2 linked regions of the Callithrix jacchus genome follow. The protein of the gene in region 2 interacts with the protein of the main gene of each other region in a pairwise test. Links are inferred from orthologs where the notes say so. Each region holds a gene or a part of one and is shown on either strand. Other genes may lie near its edges. The genes, in order: PLEKHF2 and MBIP.

Region 1 (10,232 bases), on a different chromosome or scaffold from region 2:
AAGCATCAGATAGAAGAGTTTACACTTTATTACACAGGCAATGGGAAGACAAAGGTTTTTAAATAGGAAAATATTAATCAGACACAGAAGCAGTACACAGGATGGACTGAAGAGAATATGAAGAAGCAAGACCTAAGGCAAAGAAACCAGTCAGAAGAGTATTACAAGAGTCTCTAAATGAAAGGTAACAAAAGCCCGAACCACAATAATTGGCAGATAACTGAGGCACAGCAAATAGGATTTAGGAAATAACTGAATACGTGGATGAAAAGTGAGTGTAAGATGACTTCAAAGGCTTCAGGGTAAGCCACTGGGCAGATGCTAGCTTTGTTTCAGGAGAGAGAAGAAATCAGTTTAGGACATACTTATCTTGAAGTCCAGCATGGCATCCACAAGACAAACATCTGCAGGACAGAGATGCCAGGATGAGCAGGGAGCTCCAGGACAGACAGAGATGTGGTAGTCACCCACCTAGAGATGCTGGCTGATGCATGGAAGAAAAACGAGGGCAGAGGACTCAACCTTGGGGAACCCCCATTAGAAAGCCGGAGGAAAATTAAGAGAAAAAAGAATGGGAGACAAAGGAGCACAAAGCACCTTTTCAACCTGCCCTCACATGTTTCACAACTCTCAGAGACTAAATAACCTGCCAGAAGGTCACAATCAGCAGTGAGACATATGGATAAAAAAAATCAAGGATTAATGGTAATGTATAACAATAAAATATTTGGAATTTTTACCCACAAAAATGTATCCTGGAGAAATAAACTGGAGGAAAGGGGTGGAGGGGGTGCAGCATGTAAAAAGTTTTCTCTCTGGCATTAACTCTAATTGTGAAAAACAAAACCTAAATTTCTAGCTGAGGAATAGTTAAATATATCACAAAAAGCTATCGTAAAATTTTACTACCTAAACTTCTAAAACTTCATCATTGGGGGAAGAATATTAAAGTTACATGGCAAAAAGTCAACATTCATTTATTCATTTATTTATTTATGAGACAGGGTCTTGCTCTGTCACTCAGGCTGGAGTGCAGTGGCACAATCTCCACTCACTGCAACCTCCACCTTCTGATCTCAAGCAATCCTCCCACCTCAGCCTCCTGAGTAGTTGGGACTATAGGCATGCCATCATGCCCAGCTAATTTTTATATATTTTGTAGAGATGGGGTTTTGCTATATTGCCCAGGTTGGTCTCAAACTCCTGGACTCCAGCAATCTGATCTGCCCACCTTGGCCCCCCAAAGTGCTAGGATTACAGGCGTGAGCCACTGCACCCAGCCAACATTTTTAATATACAAAGGGCTCCTGTAAATTTACAAAAAAAAAAGGAAAACATCCCAACAGAAAAATAAGAAATAAATGTCAATTTCAAAAAAAAAAAAAAAAAAAAGAAACCAACTACAACAAATAAAAATAATCAATAAATTTAAAAAATGACTCTCAGTCCCAATCAAATAAAAATTCAAATGATATTAACATATTATTCATCTCTCTAAAATGTGGTTAAAAATGGGCCTCATATTCTTGACAATACTGTATACACACTGGAACAACGTTTCTAAATGCCATTTTTGGCAATACAAATGCTTTAAGAAGTTTAAACAACATTACTATTTCCAATAATATATACAAAAATTAACAATGTACAAAGTTGTTCACATGAAGTTCACTGTAGCTCTGTCTATGATACTGAAAAGCTAGAAACAACCTAAATATTTATCAATAGGAGACTAATTAAATAAATTTTGGTACATCCATGAATTTTTAGGAAACTTTTAAAAAAACATAATATTTAATGTGGAAAAACTGCTAAAACATTTTATTAAATAAAAGTTTTTAAACAGCACATATAGTATAAGCCTATTTGTTACTTAAAAGTGGTTGATAAACACCAAAAAGTTAGTACTGGTTATCTCTAAGTACTAGACTAATAATATTTTGATATGCCTAATTATTTTGTGATGAACACATTCCCTCATAGACAAAAAAAAAAAAAAAAAAAAAAAACGCTTTTAGTTTGGGAACAAAGAATAATGTGTAGAAAAATATAAATATAAAAAGCAAAATACAGTTATATGTACAATTAATAAAAATATGAGCAAAGAACACAAAAATCTTTATTTTCCCCCAACTGTTGTTTAAATGAAACAACTATAAAGCTTTCAAAATAGTTCCACTTCTGAAAATGCGAAGAAAAAAAGATGAAAAGTTGGTGCAAAGAAGAAAATAGAAAATTCACATCATAAAATCTTAATCATTTTAGAAGGAAGCAAGGTAATCTGCTCAAAGTCAAGTGTTTCAAGACTGGGGTTAGCAACCTGACTGGAGTGAAAAAGCAACAGAGAAAATGAGTCAACTTGAATTAGAAAGTGACTAGTACACAGCAGGCAGAAAACAAACAGTAGAAAACAAATATGTAACAAGCACCAGAAGTGTGACTTCTGAGGGGAGTGTGGGGCAGGGACAAAAGCAGCAAATTGACCAGTTATACCCAGCAAAGATCAAGGAGAGGAGGTACTATGTGGTCTAGTGAGTTCATGGTGAGAATATAAACTACAGAGTTCAAGGTTGGAAAGAAGGAAGACAACTAATGGCCTAGGAGGGACTGGAGGTGACAATAAGGACAAAAAGCTGCTTCACCAGATATGACAGAAAAGAGAAACAAAACAGACCCTTGCATTGCCATCTGGCCACAGGGTTTAAGACGTGAGGTAGAATGGTTCCGAATGATGACAAGATTAAGTAACATGGTCATAACCTGCAGCCTGCTGATGTAGAGTAGGGGTAAGGGTCACTGGAGTTAGTGAAGTACAGATGCAAATGTGGCCATTCTGGCCAGAAATGACTGTAACTTTTACTTAACCTCTATGCACTTTGCTTTCCTCAGCTGCAAATATTTAATACATCCTTTCCAGCCTGCCTAATAGGAATTTTGCTAGCAGCTAAACAAACCCCTCTTCATTTTATACAACTACGAAATGAAGAGAATAAAAAAGGAGATGAGAGATTGAGTTAAATCAAAGGTTCTCCATCTGACTGAACACTAAAATCAGGGTGCTTTTAAAAAAGAGGCAAAATTATCTATGTTCTGTCCCCAAACCAAGTAATTCTGATTTATTTGTCCTGGGGTGGGATCCAGGCAATAGTATTTTTAAGTAGCCCCTCAGGAGATTTTAATGTGCAGCCAAGGTAAAAACCGAACTAGGTATTTCTACAGGCTGCTTCCCTTTAAAAGAGAATATAATTCTATATAGTTCACTGCCACTCTGTTCATTTGTTAAAATAATACCTACTATCATATTCCAGGCCATTCCACAAACATCGAATCTTGGGTGATCCGATATCACTGAGGCAACTTTTTCTGAGGCCCATTTCACAAATGAGTCAGTGAAGCTTACAGAAGTGAAGTGGCTTGTTCAAGTCACAAGCTAGCAAGGAGCTGAGCCAGGACGAGGTTTATTTGTTCCAGTCCATCCTACAACTTGCTCTCTTTCCAGTACATTCACAGCAACTATTTGAATGCCTTTTATTCTCTTCCCAGGACCTCCCTAAATTGAGCACAGTAGTTTGTGGTTTACAGTTTGACAGGGGAGAAAGTTACCTTGGGTGGGGGCAGGAAATAAAACCCTAAATTCTACAGTCATTACAGAATTACAAAACACCTTAACCTAGAGAAGTTTTGCAACTTAAAGTAACACTGTGAAAGCGTATTCATGAAGTATTTTTTATTCACTTAACACATACCTTGTTTTTAAGTATTAAGCAGGCAGTTCATGTACAAAGCTGGTTCAGCAAAGATAAACTTACAATAGAAGAATAAAATTCATATACTTCCTATTAAGCAAGGCATTTAAAAAATTCTAACACAATTCTGGCAAAACAATAATTGATAAAGCTATAATGAGATTTGTTCCAAGAGCTTAAATGTATAAATATGACCTTCAAAATTTTCAAGCATTAACAATATTTCCATCAAGTTCAAATAAATTCAATCACACTTAAAATTATGATTATAATCCCTTTGATGATCCATGGCTTCTCTCTCATACATCAGTAATTATACTTTAATCCATTATCTACTTAGAAATTTCATTAATATTTAAGTTGCATAAATATTATGGAACTTAGTAAGTTTCCCCAGGCCAAAATTCACTCAGTTACTAAATTCTCAACACCACCACCACAACAAAATACATACATATATGCACGTGCGCGCACACACACACACACAATAAACCAGTTTGAGGATTTAATGGAGCTGATGGCATGTAATGGGAAAAAGACTACAAAGAAGACTTAACTATGCTGCTCATGGAATTTATGATTTCATAAGAAATTCATGAAGCAAATTTACAAGGAACAAACATATGTGCACTCATCCATTCAAACCTTTCCTGAGCATCTGCTATGCTCTTGGCATGCAGGGAATGAAGAGGCAAATCAGACCCGATGTGTTGCCTGCTGTCAAAGAGATGTCATGACAGATCTATGCGGCATTTACAGTAATACCATGGGAGAAATTGATTTCTGGGGAGAGAGAGGGAGTGGAATGAGAGAACACAGCAGAAAAGGCTTCAAAGAATATAGGCCTAAATATTTTTAAGGAAAAATTTCATCACAAGAACCACTTGTAAATCAGCTCTCTGAGAAATAAGTGCTTATACTGAAGAACTAAATTCAAATCAGAAAGAACAATGCTAACAGTAAACAAGATGGACAGATTGCTCCAGAGGACTTAGTTATGTATCTTACAAAGTTATGCTATAGGAAAAATAAGAAGGCTTCAGACTCAGATCTCAGTTAAATACCAGCTTGGCTGCTACATTTGTGAAATTAGTTAAGTCATTTCAATTCTAAGAAATCGTTCATCCATAAAAATAAATAAGTAGTATAATGGCATTTACTTGACAATGAAGCAAAACTAAAAGAATTTTTATCAACAACAGAAGTTAGCAATAAAGCCTGAGCAACATGGCAAAACCTTGTCTCTACAAATTCAAACAAAAATTAGCCAGGCATGGTGGTGCGCACCTGCAGTCCTAACTACTCAGGAGGCTGAGGTGGATGGCCTAAGCCCGGGAGGTCAGGGCTGCAGTGAGCTGAGATGACACCACTGCACTCCAGCCTGGGCGACAGAGCGAGACCCTGTCTCACAAAAGGAAAAGAAGGAAAAGTAAGGAAGAAAGGGAGAAAGAAAGGGAGTGAGTGAGGGAGGGAAAAAAGTAAAAAGAAATTGGCAATCAAATATGAGCAAAAGCTGTATTTTTAGATCTAAAAAGTAAAAAAATTCTCCAAGAATTTGGTGTTTTAGGGCTTATTGTATTGGTGCTTAAGAGCCTTTTCAATTCATTTAAACAGAATTTTAAAGATGCCTTTATTTAAAAATAATTTAGATTTATTTACTGAGGCTGAATCTTTTCTCTTGATGCCTTAGTCACTACACTAGTTTTGAGGCCGATTACGTGTACGTTCCAAATAAAAAGGTTAATACCACTCACCTCGTGTGTGGTCGGGACCCAAAGAGATTACACTGAAGCCTTCATTAATACTGAATGAACGTGAAGACCCCACGAGGTACCAGAGTATCAAAAAAAGAGGTAAATGCTCAAAACACCGTAGGCATTCACTCTTAAGACACTAAAGGGAGGAAAAAAACCAAACTGTCAAGATCACCTCATTCTTAAGAGAACACATGCCTTTAAGACTCTCAAAGTTTGTGTCTAAATCTTTCTCTAATGACTCTCTTCAGCAACGTACTACACAACACCACAAAAAAAGCATTTATTAACAACGTGTTTGGTGAGTCTATGAATTACCGAGGAGGGGTTAGGTGTCCGTAACCTTCATACCCACTTCCACCGCACACTCCAGTTATTGCTGGAATGTACGGAGAGCGCACAAGGCTATTCAAGCCGCACCAGCAGCGCGCTCTCGGCCTTCAATCACGTTTTTAGAAAGAAAAATAAAATCGGCAAAGGATCATAAAACTTTAAAGGCTCCAAATAAATAAACCATCGCTTCTATCAGAGCAAGTTCTGCAAGGCCATTTTTTTTCTCCCAAGTGACATACAAATATGTAATTCAGTTTACAACGTCCCCGATGTGCAGACCCTGCAAACTTTTCGGCCAGAAAATTGTTGGGACCCTGAGACGACCCTGGCCGTGTCCCGGACCCCCGACCTCAGGCCCTACAACTTCCCGCCCGGCCCGGGGGCTTCTTCCCGCGTCCGCCGGCCCCTGCCCCGCAGATCGGTGGACAGAACCCTCCCCGCCGGCCCCCGTTCCCTCGCAGCGGCGGCGGCGGCGTCCTACAGGCGGGCGCAGCTCTCTCCAGGGCTGGCGGGACGGTGGCGGCGACTGGCCAGGGAGCCAGCCCGGGCGCGAGGGGAGCGGCCGGGAGCGCCCCGTTTCTCACAGACCCCAACATGGCGTCCGCCGCCACCGCCCGCGACGACGACACCTCCCGGCGCCGCGACGGCTCCGGGACCGCGGGAGGAAGCGCCGGGAAAGTTTCGCGTCTCCCCTCCCGGCCAGCCAGGAGCCGGCGGACCACCCACCCAGGCTTCACCTACCCCGACGGCCGCGGAAGGCGGCGAAAGCGTAGGTCCGATTCCTCCTCGTCGCGGACGCTGGGCTCAGACTCTGCCCGTTCCCCGCCCGGGCCTCCCAGGGTGTGTGCGGTCCGCAGTCCCGCGCAGCCAGCGCGATCCAGACGCGGCGGGCGACTGGCGGGCCGCCAGCGCAGCCGCTCGCAGGTGACTCACCCGCCCCTCCAGTGGAACTCCACAACGGCAGCCTAGATTGGCCTCTCCCCTGCGCGCGCACGGGCGCGCCCTCGCCCACACGCCGGGCACGAGTGCGCGGGCACGAGCACACCCACACCACTCGCTCCCCGCCCTTTCTCGCCAGTTCCCTCGCCCCGCCCCTAACGACGCGCTCTAGGGGCGGGGCCTTCGACGGAGGCCACACCCACCCGGGAACTGCCTCGGGTGGAGCTTGTTCTTGTGTGATGTCGGGACGTGCTTCCGCGATGCGTTGAGGTCCACGTGGGGTGCCCTACCTGGCTTTCCTGACTCCGATAAGCCTTTAGTTAAGTATTGGTCAACTGTCTACGAAGTTTTTAGGGAGAGTGGAAGAATGGAAGAAAGACACCTCCCACCCCCAACAGCCCTCCCCAGGGAACTGAAGAACGGGAAAGGCAGGCTTTGGATTTAGATGCCCAAAGGCGTCGGAACCGGCTTTTGCCGCTCTCATTTAGCAGGGCAATCCTTTCCGTCTCACTTTCCCTTTGTTTTACCTAAAATCCCTCTTCTTGAAACTAAGGGAACTGCGGCGACACACACATACCCCACGTGCTCCATCCAGCCATTTCTTTTAAGTGCATACTTTAGAATTCTGGTCTTTCCAAAACGTTGACTACACAAAACCTCTCAACCTACTTCACATACCTAGAAACTGTAATTATAGCATAGTATGTAAGGTTAAATGTGCCCTAATTAATCTGCTAGCTAAGCGCTCTGGTGGGTGTATGGAAAGGTAACAAAGTTGCTTAGGGTAAACCAAGGATGGGGACGAGGTGGGGAGAACAGCATACTTATTTTAAACTAAGTGTGTGTGTAGGTGGAAATTAGGTTTTGGTAAATTTTATGTTTCTTGTTCATCTATTATTTCAGAAAATTGTTTTATCCTGGGTTTGATTGCCATTGAATTAGAGCCATTACCAGCCAAGCTGCACGTGGATGAGCACCCAGGGAAGAGAGCAGGCTTGGGTTTCTCTGCTCTTCCACCTGGGATTCTCATCCAGGCCTTCTGCCTCCCATCCTCCTCTCTTTCAATAGAGTTTGTCTCTGAAACAAACAAGTCTTTTTTTTTTAATTAATAATTAGAACAAAATTGGCAAAGATGAACATTTTTTAATGGGGAAAGTTGTATGATCATACACACATACACAGTTTTCCGAGTACAGATGTCTCCAAGACTCTTGTCTGTATATCACTCTACCTCATTCACCTCTGCCTGCACAGCAGTATCTATCAGTGGAGAAAAGGCAGGACTAAATAATGCTTAAAATCCTTTTAAATCTTGAAAGTAGGAATTGCTATGTCTGACTGGTGGTCTCGGGTCAAGCCTAGAGCATTAGTCATCAAATATTTTTGGTCACTGTTATTAGTAAAAATGTTTGCCCTCCCCACTTCCCATGTACTTATTTAGCTTAAGTAAAGGGCATGATTGGCTTTGCCTCTAACAACCTGTATCTTAGGGCACATCCAAATATGACTTTGGTTTTTTCACTTGTAAAATGGAGATAATAAAAGTATATCACAGAGTTATGAAGATTAAATGAATTAATATATGTAAAGCATATACCTGTCACACTTTACAAGTGTGAAATAAAATTATTACATATATAATGTACATATATAGTGCTACATAAGTGTGAAATAAAAAATATTACATATATAATATACCCAGCTACTCAGGAGGCTGAGGCTGGAGGATCATTTGAGGCCAAGAGTTCAAATCCAGACTGGGCAACATAGCAAGACCCAGTCATACACACACACACACACACACACACACACACACACAATTATATGCATAATATATATGGTGCATATTTATATATACACATACCTATTATACCTAGTATGTTAGGTACATTATAAAACAACATACTCTATTTAAAAAGCAAGCCATGCCTGTAATCACAGCACTTTGGGAAGGCAGACAGCCTGAGGTCAGGAGTTCAAGACCAGCCTGGCCAACATGGTGAAACCTCATCTCTACTAAAAATACAAAAATTAGCTGGGCATGATGGCACATGCCTGTAATCACAGCACTTTAGGAAGCCACGGCAGACAGCCTGAGGTCAGGAGTTCAGGACCAGCCTGGCCAACATGATGAAACCTCATCTCTACTAAAAATATAAAAATTAGCTGGGCGTGGTGGCACAAGCCTGTAGTCTTAGCTACTCAGGAGGCTGAGACAGGAGAATTGCAGAGGTTGCAGTGAGCTGAGATCGCACCGCTGCAGTCCAGCCTGGGCGACAGTGAAACTCTTTCTCTAAATAAATAAATAGCAACATATTTTTCCAGAATACTGGCATAAATATGTCATTTATATCCCCATGTAAAAACACGAAACTTAAGCATGATTTTGTTTTAAAATTTTATTTTTAAATAAAATAAAAACTTTTAGAGTTTAAAGCCAGATAGACCTGGAGGTTCAAAATCTGATTTTGTAAGTTTTTAGTTGTCTAACCCTGTGTAAGTGACTTAATTGCTCTGCTCCTCGATTTATTATTTATTTATTTATTTATTATTATTATTATTTTGAGATGGAGTCTTGCTCTGTCACTTGGGGCTGGAGTGCAGTAGCACAATCTTAGCTCACTGCAACCTCTCCCTCCTGGGTTCAAGTGATTCTCCTGTCTCAGCCTCCTGAGTAGCTGGAACCACAGGCATGCACCACAACACCCAGCTAATTTTTGTATTTTTAGTAGAGACAGAGTTTCACCATGTTGGCCAGGCTGGTCTCGAACTTCTAACCTCAGGTGATCCACCCACCTGAGCCTCCCAAAGTGTGGGATTATAGGTGTGTCACCACACCCAGCCTGCAACTCAATTTCTTTATTTGTAAAATGTATAGAATGAGGAAAACAATCCCTATTCCCTAGGATTATAAAGATTAGTGATAATATAAGTACAACACACAGCACGGCACCTAGCAAATAATAGATGCTCAATAAACAGAGGATGTGTTGGCAATAGTTGTAGTAGTAGTGAATGTTGCTGCTGTTGAAATTACTAAGAAAATATAAATTTTTACCACTCGTGAAAATGCAGGAAATGGTATATTAATCCTTGACATGTCTGATTCACAGGTCCCTGGCCAATTCTTGCAAAGGTCTTTCCAACATCTTTATGCCTCTTCAATGACTTTATATTCTTGAAGTTGAGAACGCACAAGGGCTGTTCACAAACAGGAAAAATGCTATGTGCACACACTGTCATTCAGTTGCAGCCACCCAATCCCACTCCTCACCTTATCTCCCTTTGACTCTGTATGAATCTATCCCCTCCACTCATCTCCAGCCCTGACTGACTGACTGACTTATTTATTTAGTTGAGACAGAGCCTTGCTCTGTTGCCCAGGCTGGAGTACAGTGGCATGATCTCAGCTCACCACAACCTCTGCCTCCTGGTTTCAAGTGCTCCTGCCTCAGCCTCC
Region 2 (9,437 bases):
TCAGAGCTTCGGGGCAATGCCACAGCTGCAACTGATTGGTGTACGTGCTTGTCAGTCACATACAGAGGGTGGAGCCTCAAAGCCCGGATATAAACGAGACGCCGTGTCGTACGTCATCACCGAGCGACTAAAGCGGAAAAGGGAGGGGGCGGGGCTGTGAGCAATCCTTGGCGGCCTGAGAAGGTGTCATGGCTGCTGCCACGGAGCTTACTCGCCCGAGTAGCGGTGACAGGAATGTGGAGCGAAGATGCAGCCCCAGCCTCTCCCGAGAGGTGCTCTGCGAAATCTTTCGCTCCCTGCACACCCTGGTTGGACAGGTGAGAAGTGGCCTCAGGGATTGAGGGTATGGAAACCATCCGGCCTCTCCCCCTCATTCTTTTCCTCTAGCGGAGGCCAGAGGCAGCGAGGCCTGCCAAGGTCTGAGGTGCGGCCCCTGAAGCCGAGGTCGGGGAGGAGCCCGGGCCGAGCCGTCTCAGTCGGAGTGAGGAGGATGGCGGTACCGGTTGCCAAGTGGTTTACCTTGCAGCTGTCCTCCCCAGCAGTGGGTGAGGATGGTTTAAGTGAAAACCCGGCCCCGAGAGGAGCAGACTTGGAGAGAATGAATGTGGAAAAGCTTAACTGCGGATTTATGAGGCGCCTCGCGCTCAGGCTCCTTTTTCTTCCAACTTACTCAATTACGGGAATTGGTTGGTCAGTAGGCCTGAGATTTATAGAAAAGCGCGCTTATTAGCTTTTTTCAGGGGCTAGAGGGAGTAATTTGTTCTTATGAGTCACTTGGTTTTGTTTATTTCTTCTTTCCTTCGGGCTGTTTTGTGCATCTATTACCCTTTTAAATGGAGAGGAAAGTAAAAGGAATTCATTTAAAATACTTCTAGCGTAAAGTTGGATGAGTTATCCCTCTTTGATGTTGTTTGCAATAGAACGGGCGTTATTTAACTATTATTAAACGGGCGTAGTTTAACTGGCTGATAAATCGCTTTTGCAGAAATGTGGTAAAATTGGTTTTAAATTTAAATGGACTTCTTATTCTCTGTGATCAAGTCACTGTTTCGTTTCATGGTGTAAAATTCAAAGCAGATTTTAAATGTGAAACAGTTTAAAATTATGCTTCTTCACCTGCTTATTAAAAGGAAATATTTTCTATCTTACATAGACCATTTTCTAGCCGTAAAAGTTTGTTTTGGAGCTGGTACTAGTGCCTGTGGACACAGCAGGCATTTGTGTCAAAGACAATGGTAAATTCCTATAAAAATAGAACATTTGTCTGATTTGTGAAAATTATTTTTTTAAAGCCTTGAGTAGATGGAGAATCAGTCTTTTAAAAAGTTACTAAAGTAGTTTTAAAAATCGTAGTATGTTGTGTCTTACAAAGAACATTACTGTAAGTTTAGCGGTTTTATGTAATGACGCAGTTGTTAATGAAATCTGCTAAAAGATACAACTTTTAAACTCAATTGTTTGCCAAGTACTTACCAAAAACATTTTTTTAAACACTTGGGGTCTTTTGTTATTAACATTGTAGTCTTAAGAACCAAAACCTCTAAATGGTTTAAAAGTTAGAGAACTTTTTATGGCGACGTCGGAACTTGTTTATTTTCTAATGTCAAGATAAAAAAAGTTTATGCTCACCTATTAACAGAAGATGGAATATTTAAAAAAAATATTGAGCAATGATTTAAACTTTTCTTTTGAAATATTTTGCATACTGAATTTTTCAAACTCATTAGAAAATTTTAATGATTCAAGTACGGTAAAGTACAATTAAAGAAATGATTACAGTTTACTTATGTCACTTGTCAAAAATGTTGACAGTAAATATTTGGTGACTTTACTGTGACACAGTGAAGGGACCTCCTACACAAGTGTCAAAAATATGATTGTTTCATCAATTAAATGTAAACCACTTTCAAAATACTCTGTATTTTGAGAAATGTTTTTTAAGAGTGAAAGCCAGAGTTCAATACTTATAAAATTGCCCCCCCGAGAAATCAGTATTTTCTTTTGCGACCAGTTTAAAGGATTTTTAAAATGTATGTTGTAACATACCTAACTTATCCTGTGTCATCCCTAAGTATCATTGTATTATTAGATCTCCTCAGTAGGAAACACAAAACTGAATGTTAAAAATAATTTTTTACTTCAGATCACAAAATTTACTAATTTTAACCTTTTTGCTTGCCTCTGGATGGCCCATCTTACCAAGCTGAACAATTACTTATTTTTAGCTTGGATTTTTGTATTAATTTAGTAAAGTTAATGAAACTACATATTTAAATAGTCTATATTAATAGCAGACTAATAGAGATTTTCAAGTGAATGGTTTACTCTTCCAAGTTCTGTAGGGCAAAATGCATAGGATTCATGTGACTAATAATGAATGTCTTGAATGAATAGTTAGATGAATTAGGATAGTTTTATAATTAATTTGTGACATTATGTGGTTTTCTTAAAAGACCAATTATTCTTAATTGCACTTGAAGGTTTATATAATTCTGCTGAATTGAAATGAGAATATGAACCAAACATTAAGACTTATTTTTCTATACGTTATTTTCTCTAGAAAAATGTGATACTTTGCTTTGGTTGAGGATTTGCCTGCTTTATCCCCAAGCTGTATTCATAAGTTTTCTATAATCGAGTATAGATCTCTTTGAAGACTACAAAAGTATATTAATGGGTTACTTCCATACATAATATGGGTTGTTGTGTAGCAAAATCTTTATAGGCATTAAAGTAATATAAATTAATGCATTAACTTTAAAGTCTTAATATGTTCTAATCTTTGCCAGTGCAGCCTACATGAAATTTCATATATCTTTACACTTGTTTAATATGGACTTTTAAATTCTTCTGTTCTTATCTTAAAAGGGCAGTAAATTTCTGTCACATAGTGTTTATTCAATATATTATCTTTTTATTGGTAACCTTACATCTTTTTGATCTTTGTACAGTGATTCATCTTTATAACTCCTAAAATCTGTATTTGAACTAACGTAACAACTTTATTTTGTAGAAAAGATGATGAATTTTGAATTAATTATGTAACTTGTTTCTTTTATGGAATATATTCTTATGCTATCCTGTAAACATATGTCCCTAGGAAAGTTTATGATAGTTCACTTTTATTCACTCAAAAGACTGCAGATGGGTGCTATCACTGTAAAATTTTCATTCATTTTGATAATAATCTTATATTCAGGTTCTTTGTAATTTTCTGGGTATGATTTTATTCTGTTAGATCACCAACTGATACAAATTTCCATATAATGAGCCCTCACATCTTACCATTTAGCAAAAGATCTGGCCATTTCATCCAGTCTGACAACTTATTTCACTATTGTGGAGAAGTCTTTGTTTTTCAGCTTCAGACTTCCATAGCTAACTAATAGTTTTTTATTTGAAATAAACATGTTGCCATTTATCCCTGCTTTTAGTATGTATGAGTAATCTTGACTTTTAAATTAGTTTAAAATTTGGTTAAAGGTGAAAACAATAACAATGTGATTTGGAGAACATCAGAATAGTGATATATATCTGGTATGTATTTGTGTACGTACTTAAAGAGAAAAATGCATGTTAAAACTTTCACAAAACAGTTGTGCTTCCTCTGTTTACGGCTCTGAGCTAGAAGTAGTAGGATTCTGAATAGGGTAAGCCTATTTTGGACTCCATCCAAAGGTTTGTAGATATTGAAGAATCAAAAGAGCCTTCATCTTTTCATCTTTCATGAATGGTTTCACCTCTAAAATGATCCCGTTACACAGACCCAAGAATAGAATTTGAATGACATGTCATTTTGTTTTTGTTTTTTATGAAAATCTGTAGCTTTCGTGGCCATTTAAAATGGTAACTAGGTAGAGCATTTCAGTGTAAAACTTGATAACTTTGAGCAAAATAGACACGTTACTCTTGAAATCCTTTATTTGTGACAATTCCATATGTACAGTTTAATCTTATAATTTTTGTGATGTTGCTGGTTTGCCTTTTTGAAGCTTAACCTCAGAGATGATGTGGTGAAAATTACAATCGATTGGAACAAGCTCCAAAGCTTTTCGGCATTCCAGCCTGCGTTGCTCTTTAGTGCACTTGAACAACACATTTTAGATTTACAGGTAAATTTCTTGTTAGAAATGATAACCCGATATTGAAAACAGAAATTAATTGTGGTTAAATTAGAGTATTTGTCAGTTCTAAACACTCTATTAATAGTGTTGCTAATAAAAGGTTATTTACATCCAGATTGGATCTAAATCTGTTAATTTCAGTAGTGATCAGGACAGTTAAGGGAATATAGCCCAAAAGACTAATGTGGGTATGAGAGTGAATGAATGCAGTTCTGTTCAATTCTAGACCTGCACTGAAAATTCAATACAGTTCCATCTATGGTGGGTTATAATTAAGCAATAAGACACGGCAGGTGTGTGTCATGCTATGATAATGATTCCATGCCTTGGGTGAGTTTGGAGGCTCATGGAGTGCTTTCAGTGGTTCAAGAAGGGGCATTATCCCAGCATGACACATCCTGGAGTGTCTATTGCAATTAAACAGTTTCAGCATAGTTTTTAAAAAGAAAGTAATTTCTGTGACATTAATGTCTCATCTTAGTAAGTAGCCAGTCACTGTTTTCTTTTTCTTAACAGTTTGAAATAATTTATTCTTTATATTAGAAGCTAATATTGAACTGGTATTTATAATAGCATTGTTATATTTTTAAGTATTTCATGTTATGACCTTGCTAGTTTGTAATTGAACATCTTTCCAATTATAATTGATGTAAGTTTGCAGTTTATCTCTAATTAAAGTGTAAAATGTAAAGTGTCAAAAAGATAAGTGGAAGAACTGTTTGGATTGGTCAGTTTACTGTGATTAAGATGTTATACGGTTTCAGGAGAGTATTTGGTATAGCAAACAAGGGAAGCAAAATTGTGGATATGAAAAAAATAATTGGAACGTTATTAGTGTTAGTGTGTTTTGACTAATGGAATAGGCATTAATTTTCAGCTCTCCATTTATTGACTTTGTGGGAAATTTTAACTGTTTCACGTTAAAAGTAATAGTTAACCCTGTTTTCAAAGGGCAGAGCAGTGAGCTATAGAACTCAAATGAGGCCTAATTGTGTGGAGTGGGGGAGGAGAACAGTAAATGGATAATATCATTTATATTCTACAATAGGGGTTTTTTTCCCCCTGTAGTATAGTGATAGGCCTCTGCCTGTTTTCTGCCATAGATTTTTTTTTCTTGTTAGTTTTGTTTTTTAAAATTTAATCTTATGGCCCAAGAAGATATTTGCCATGTCAGGAAAAGTCTTGAGTGTTCACTCAGCCTAACACCTATATATTTCCTGTCTATGCTTCCTCATTCACATTGGCCAACTGCAGTTTCAAGTGGAGAATCTCCAGTGATACAGTGATAATGCAGGGCTTTGCTGAGTGAGAGCACTGGCTCTCCTGTTAAGGAGGAAAAATACTAAGCCTTAGTGTTCTGAGGAGGCATTTGAATGACATGTTAATTAAGTGGCATTGGTGCCAGAGGCTGAAGGCTTTGATTTGGCACAAAATAAAAGATAAGTGACAGAATGATTCTCTCAAAGAAAATTTTAAATTTCCTTAGGTTTTCTAATCTTTTTTCTTTTTTCCTCTCTTCTTTTAAAATTTATAGCAAATGATAATGGTTACAATAGCAAAGAATAGTAAATACTTATATGAAGTCAGATCTATGTGTCCTGGTGTACTAACTTTTTATATTTAGTAATATTAAATATTTAATTTAGCAGAAATTTATGTAAATATATTAAATGTGTAATTAATTTGGGTCAGTTTGAATCTCAGCAGATGGAATTGTGTTGTTCTCAGCCTTTTTTAGCAAAACTTCAGTCTCCAGTTAAAGAGGAGAATACAACCGCTGTTGAAGAGATAGGAAAAACAGAAACGGGGAACAAAAATGAAGTAAATGACAAATTTTCCTTTGGCGACCTACAAAAGGAAGAAAAGCACAAAGAATGTGATTTAGGAGATGTGAAAAAGACACAGATCCATTTTGATCCAGAAGTAGTTCAGATAAAGGCTGGAAAAGCAGAAGTAAGAAGTTTTTTTGGTGGGGATGAGAGGGTATTACTTTTAAAAATCTTATGTTTACACTGTTAAAACTTGTTGTTTGTAGATTGACAGACGAATATCTGCATTTATTGAAAGAAAGCAAGCTGAAATCAATGAAAACAACGTCAGAGAGTTTTGCAATGTTATTGATTGTAATCAAGGTAACTACCTAGAAATTAATTTTCATAGGATTTTAAGTACAATTTTTATAGTTGCTCTAATCTTTTATTTATTTTTTAAATGAATGGCTTTAAGAACACAATTCAGTTTATTTCACAGGTTTAGTTAGTAACTAAGGCAGTAGACTTTTCTTCTGCTTAATAATAGACTATGTTGCAAATTGGTTTTGATTTTGGTTACACAAAAATCAAATAAATGCAAACATTAAAAGTGTTTACCACAGGTGAAGATTATTTTAAAGTTCCTTTAGGAAATGGTGGTGAGTTATGAAAGACAGGGTTGATCAATCTCAATAGTAAAAGGAACTAAGCTGTATGAATTTCAAACCTATAAATGTACTATGAAATCATGATGTTAATATATGTGAACTTAGTAAAGTTAATATTCCTCCAGAGGGAACAGTTTTCTCACTACCCCTGAGCTGTTTGAAATGTCCTATGTCACAATACAACCAATTTATCATGAAGACCATGATGTCTTGCTTTTTTCCTTTCTGTCATAGTGCATGCATTTGCTGCTTTTCATCAGATTCTCCTTTACCTCTTCACTTGATGCTACAGTACATTTACAAATCTGCAGGTACGCTGCAGAATACAAAATATTGTAAAGCAGTGCCATAGATCATACTCAGTCATCATAGTAATAATCAGAACAAGTAGTTCTTAGGAAAAATTATGGAGAAGAGTTCATATGGAATGAACATTTTTCTTGTTGCCTCTAATATCTCATGGCTAAAATTATTATGAACATATAATTGACAGATGAACCTAGAGATGACTCATATCACATTGGTACACTGATTCTCTTAATAATGAAATAATATAAACTGGTCCTGAATTTAGGTGTGTGCTACTATTAACATTATACATGTGCATATCTAAATATGGTATATTTTCTTGTAGCTTTTCAGAATAGGTGCAACAATGACAAAATCTCAGGTACTACAACCAACTGCAAGCGACTATGAGAAAGGATTTGTTGAGAGAGCAAGCACATGTGTCACTAATGTTATTCCTCTGTTCTCCCTGCTAACTCTATTATTATAAACCACCAGGGGATAGAAATTGACAAGAATTGAAATGCTCAGCAGGATTCCTTGGCCCATTCAATTCCTTGCTGGCTCAAAACAGTGCTAGCAAGAATTGCTGTGGAGAGTGGCTAGCACTCATACATTCACACCATGCTGAATTTCTCACTGATGGGTCAGTTAATCTATATGTTTGGAATATAGTTCTGGAATAGATGATAGCTTCTTTTTTTAACCCTTAGCCCCATGAAATGGTAGGAAGAGAATGCAAAAGGATGACCCTTTAAGCATATTTTGAGGTACATCCATAAAAAAAAAAAAAAGAAGAAGAAGAAAAGATGACTAGTCTCTAGGTATAAAAGCTAAGTGGATTTGGAATTTTATTCATACTATTTGATTTATCAGCAGAATTACTAAGTTAAGTTCAACTGAAAAAAAAATGTATTTTAATATAGTAGTGCATTCCTCTTAATAACCTATGAATTTAACTTAAATATAAGCAGAGGCATTTTTAAAATTGAAATTCCATGGGGGAGAAAAAAGAATTTTTTAAAATAATCTCAACAGCCATTTCTTAAAAAATATTCAAGGGAATTTTACAGGATATTTACTGCCAATGTGTGGTTTTTAAACATTATTTCAAACACAAGAGTATATTATTACTATGTAGTATCATATATATACTATATATTAATATATAACAATTATGTTAATATTAGTCATATTCTATGTTAACATTCCAATTTTCCCCTTTTGTAATTTATGCATTGTTATCTAATTTCAAAGAAACTATACTTTTCAGCAAGTGGTAGGATAGAAGTAGATGACTTTTGTGATGAGGGGATTTTTTATTTTTATTTATTTTTATTGCATTTTAGGTTTTGGGGTACATGTGCAGAACATGAAAGACATTTGCATAGGTACACACATGGCAGTGTGTTTTGCTGCCTTCCTCCCCTTCACCCACATTTGGCATTTCTCCCCAGGCTATCCCTCCCCAGCTCCCCCTCCCGCTTGCCCTCCCCTCTTCCTGCCAATAGACCCCAGTGTTTGGTACTCCCTTCCCTGTGTCCATGTGTTCTCATTTTTTATCACCCACCTATGAGTGAGAATATGCGGTATTTCGTTTTCTGTTCTTGTGTCAGTTTGCTGAGAATGATGTTCTCCAGATATATCCATGTCCCTACAAACGACACGAGCTCATCATTTTTGATTGCTGCATAATATTCCATGGTGTATATGTGCCACATTTTCCCAATCCAGTCTATCATCAATGGGCATTTGGGTTGGTTCCAGGTCTTTGCTAATGTAAACAGTGCTGCAATGAACATTCGTGTGCATGTGTCCTTATAGTAGAACGATTTATAGTCCTTTGGATATATACCCAGTAATGGGATTGCTGGGTCAATTGGAATTTCTATTTCTAAGGACGTGAGGAATCGCCACACTGTCTTCCACAATGGTTGAACTAGTTTACACTCCCACCAACAGTGTAAAAGTGTTGCTGTTTCTCCACATCCTCTCCAGCGTCTGTTGTCTCCAGATTTTTTAATGATCGCCATTCTAACTGGCATGAGATGGTATCTCAGTGTGGTTTTGATTTGCATCTCTCTGATGACCAGTGATGATGAGCATTTTTTTAAATGTTTGTTGGCCTCATGTATGTCTTCTTTTGTAAAGTGTCTGTTGATATCCTTTGCCCATTTTTGAATGGGATTGTTTTTTTCCTGTAAATCTGTTTGAGTTCTTTGTAAATTCTGGATATCAGCCCTTTGTCAGATGGGTAGACTGCAAAAATTTTTTCCCATTCTCTTGGTTGCCGATTCATTCTAGTGACTGTTTCTTTTGCCGTGCAGAAGCTGTGGAGTTTCATTAGGTCCCATTGGTCTATTTTGGCTTTTGTTGCCAATGCTTTTGGTGTTTTGGTCATGAAGTCCTTGCCTACTCCTATGTCCTGAATGGGTTTGCCTAGATTTTCTTCTAGGGTTTTTACGGTGCCAGGTCTTATGTTTAAGTCTTTAATCCATCTGGAGTTAATTTTAGTGTAAGGTGTCAGGAAGGGGTCCAGTTTCTGCTTTCTGCACATGGCTAGCCAGTTTTCCCAACACCATTTATTAAACAGGGAATCCTTTCCC

The links.
Region 1: the proteins of MBIP (region 2) and PLEKHF2 interact in binary tests that used the Homo sapiens proteins (3 or more experiments, as listed by UniProt). The two-hybrid records come from large-scale screens. The link is inferred for Callithrix jacchus from reciprocal best matches to the Homo sapiens genes MBIP and PLEKHF2.

What each region holds. Positions count from the first base shown.
Region 1 is NC_133517.1:32,075,155-32,085,386, forward strand, and holds the start of PLEKHF2 (pleckstrin homology domain-containing family F member 2), read right to left. Parts: upstream 6,730-10,232; 5' UTR 6,575-6,729; intron 5,640-6,574; exon of another isoform or gene 5,501-5,639; intron 1-5,500. UniProt on the Homo sapiens protein: May play a role in early endosome fusion upstream of RAB5, hence regulating receptor trafficking and fluid-phase transport. Enhances cellular sensitivity to TNF-induced apoptosis.
Region 2 is NC_133509.1:70,903,913-70,913,349, reverse strand, and holds the start of MBIP (MAP3K12-binding inhibitory protein 1), read left to right. Parts: upstream 1-169; 5' UTR 170-188; coding exon 189-317; intron 318-3,992; coding exon 3,993-4,112; intron 4,113-5,852; coding exon 5,853-6,077; intron 6,078-6,159; coding exon 6,160-6,256; intron 6,257-9,437. UniProt on the Homo sapiens protein: Inhibits the MAP3K12 activity to induce the activation of the JNK/SAPK pathway. Component of the ATAC complex, a complex with histone acetyltransferase activity on histones H3 and H4.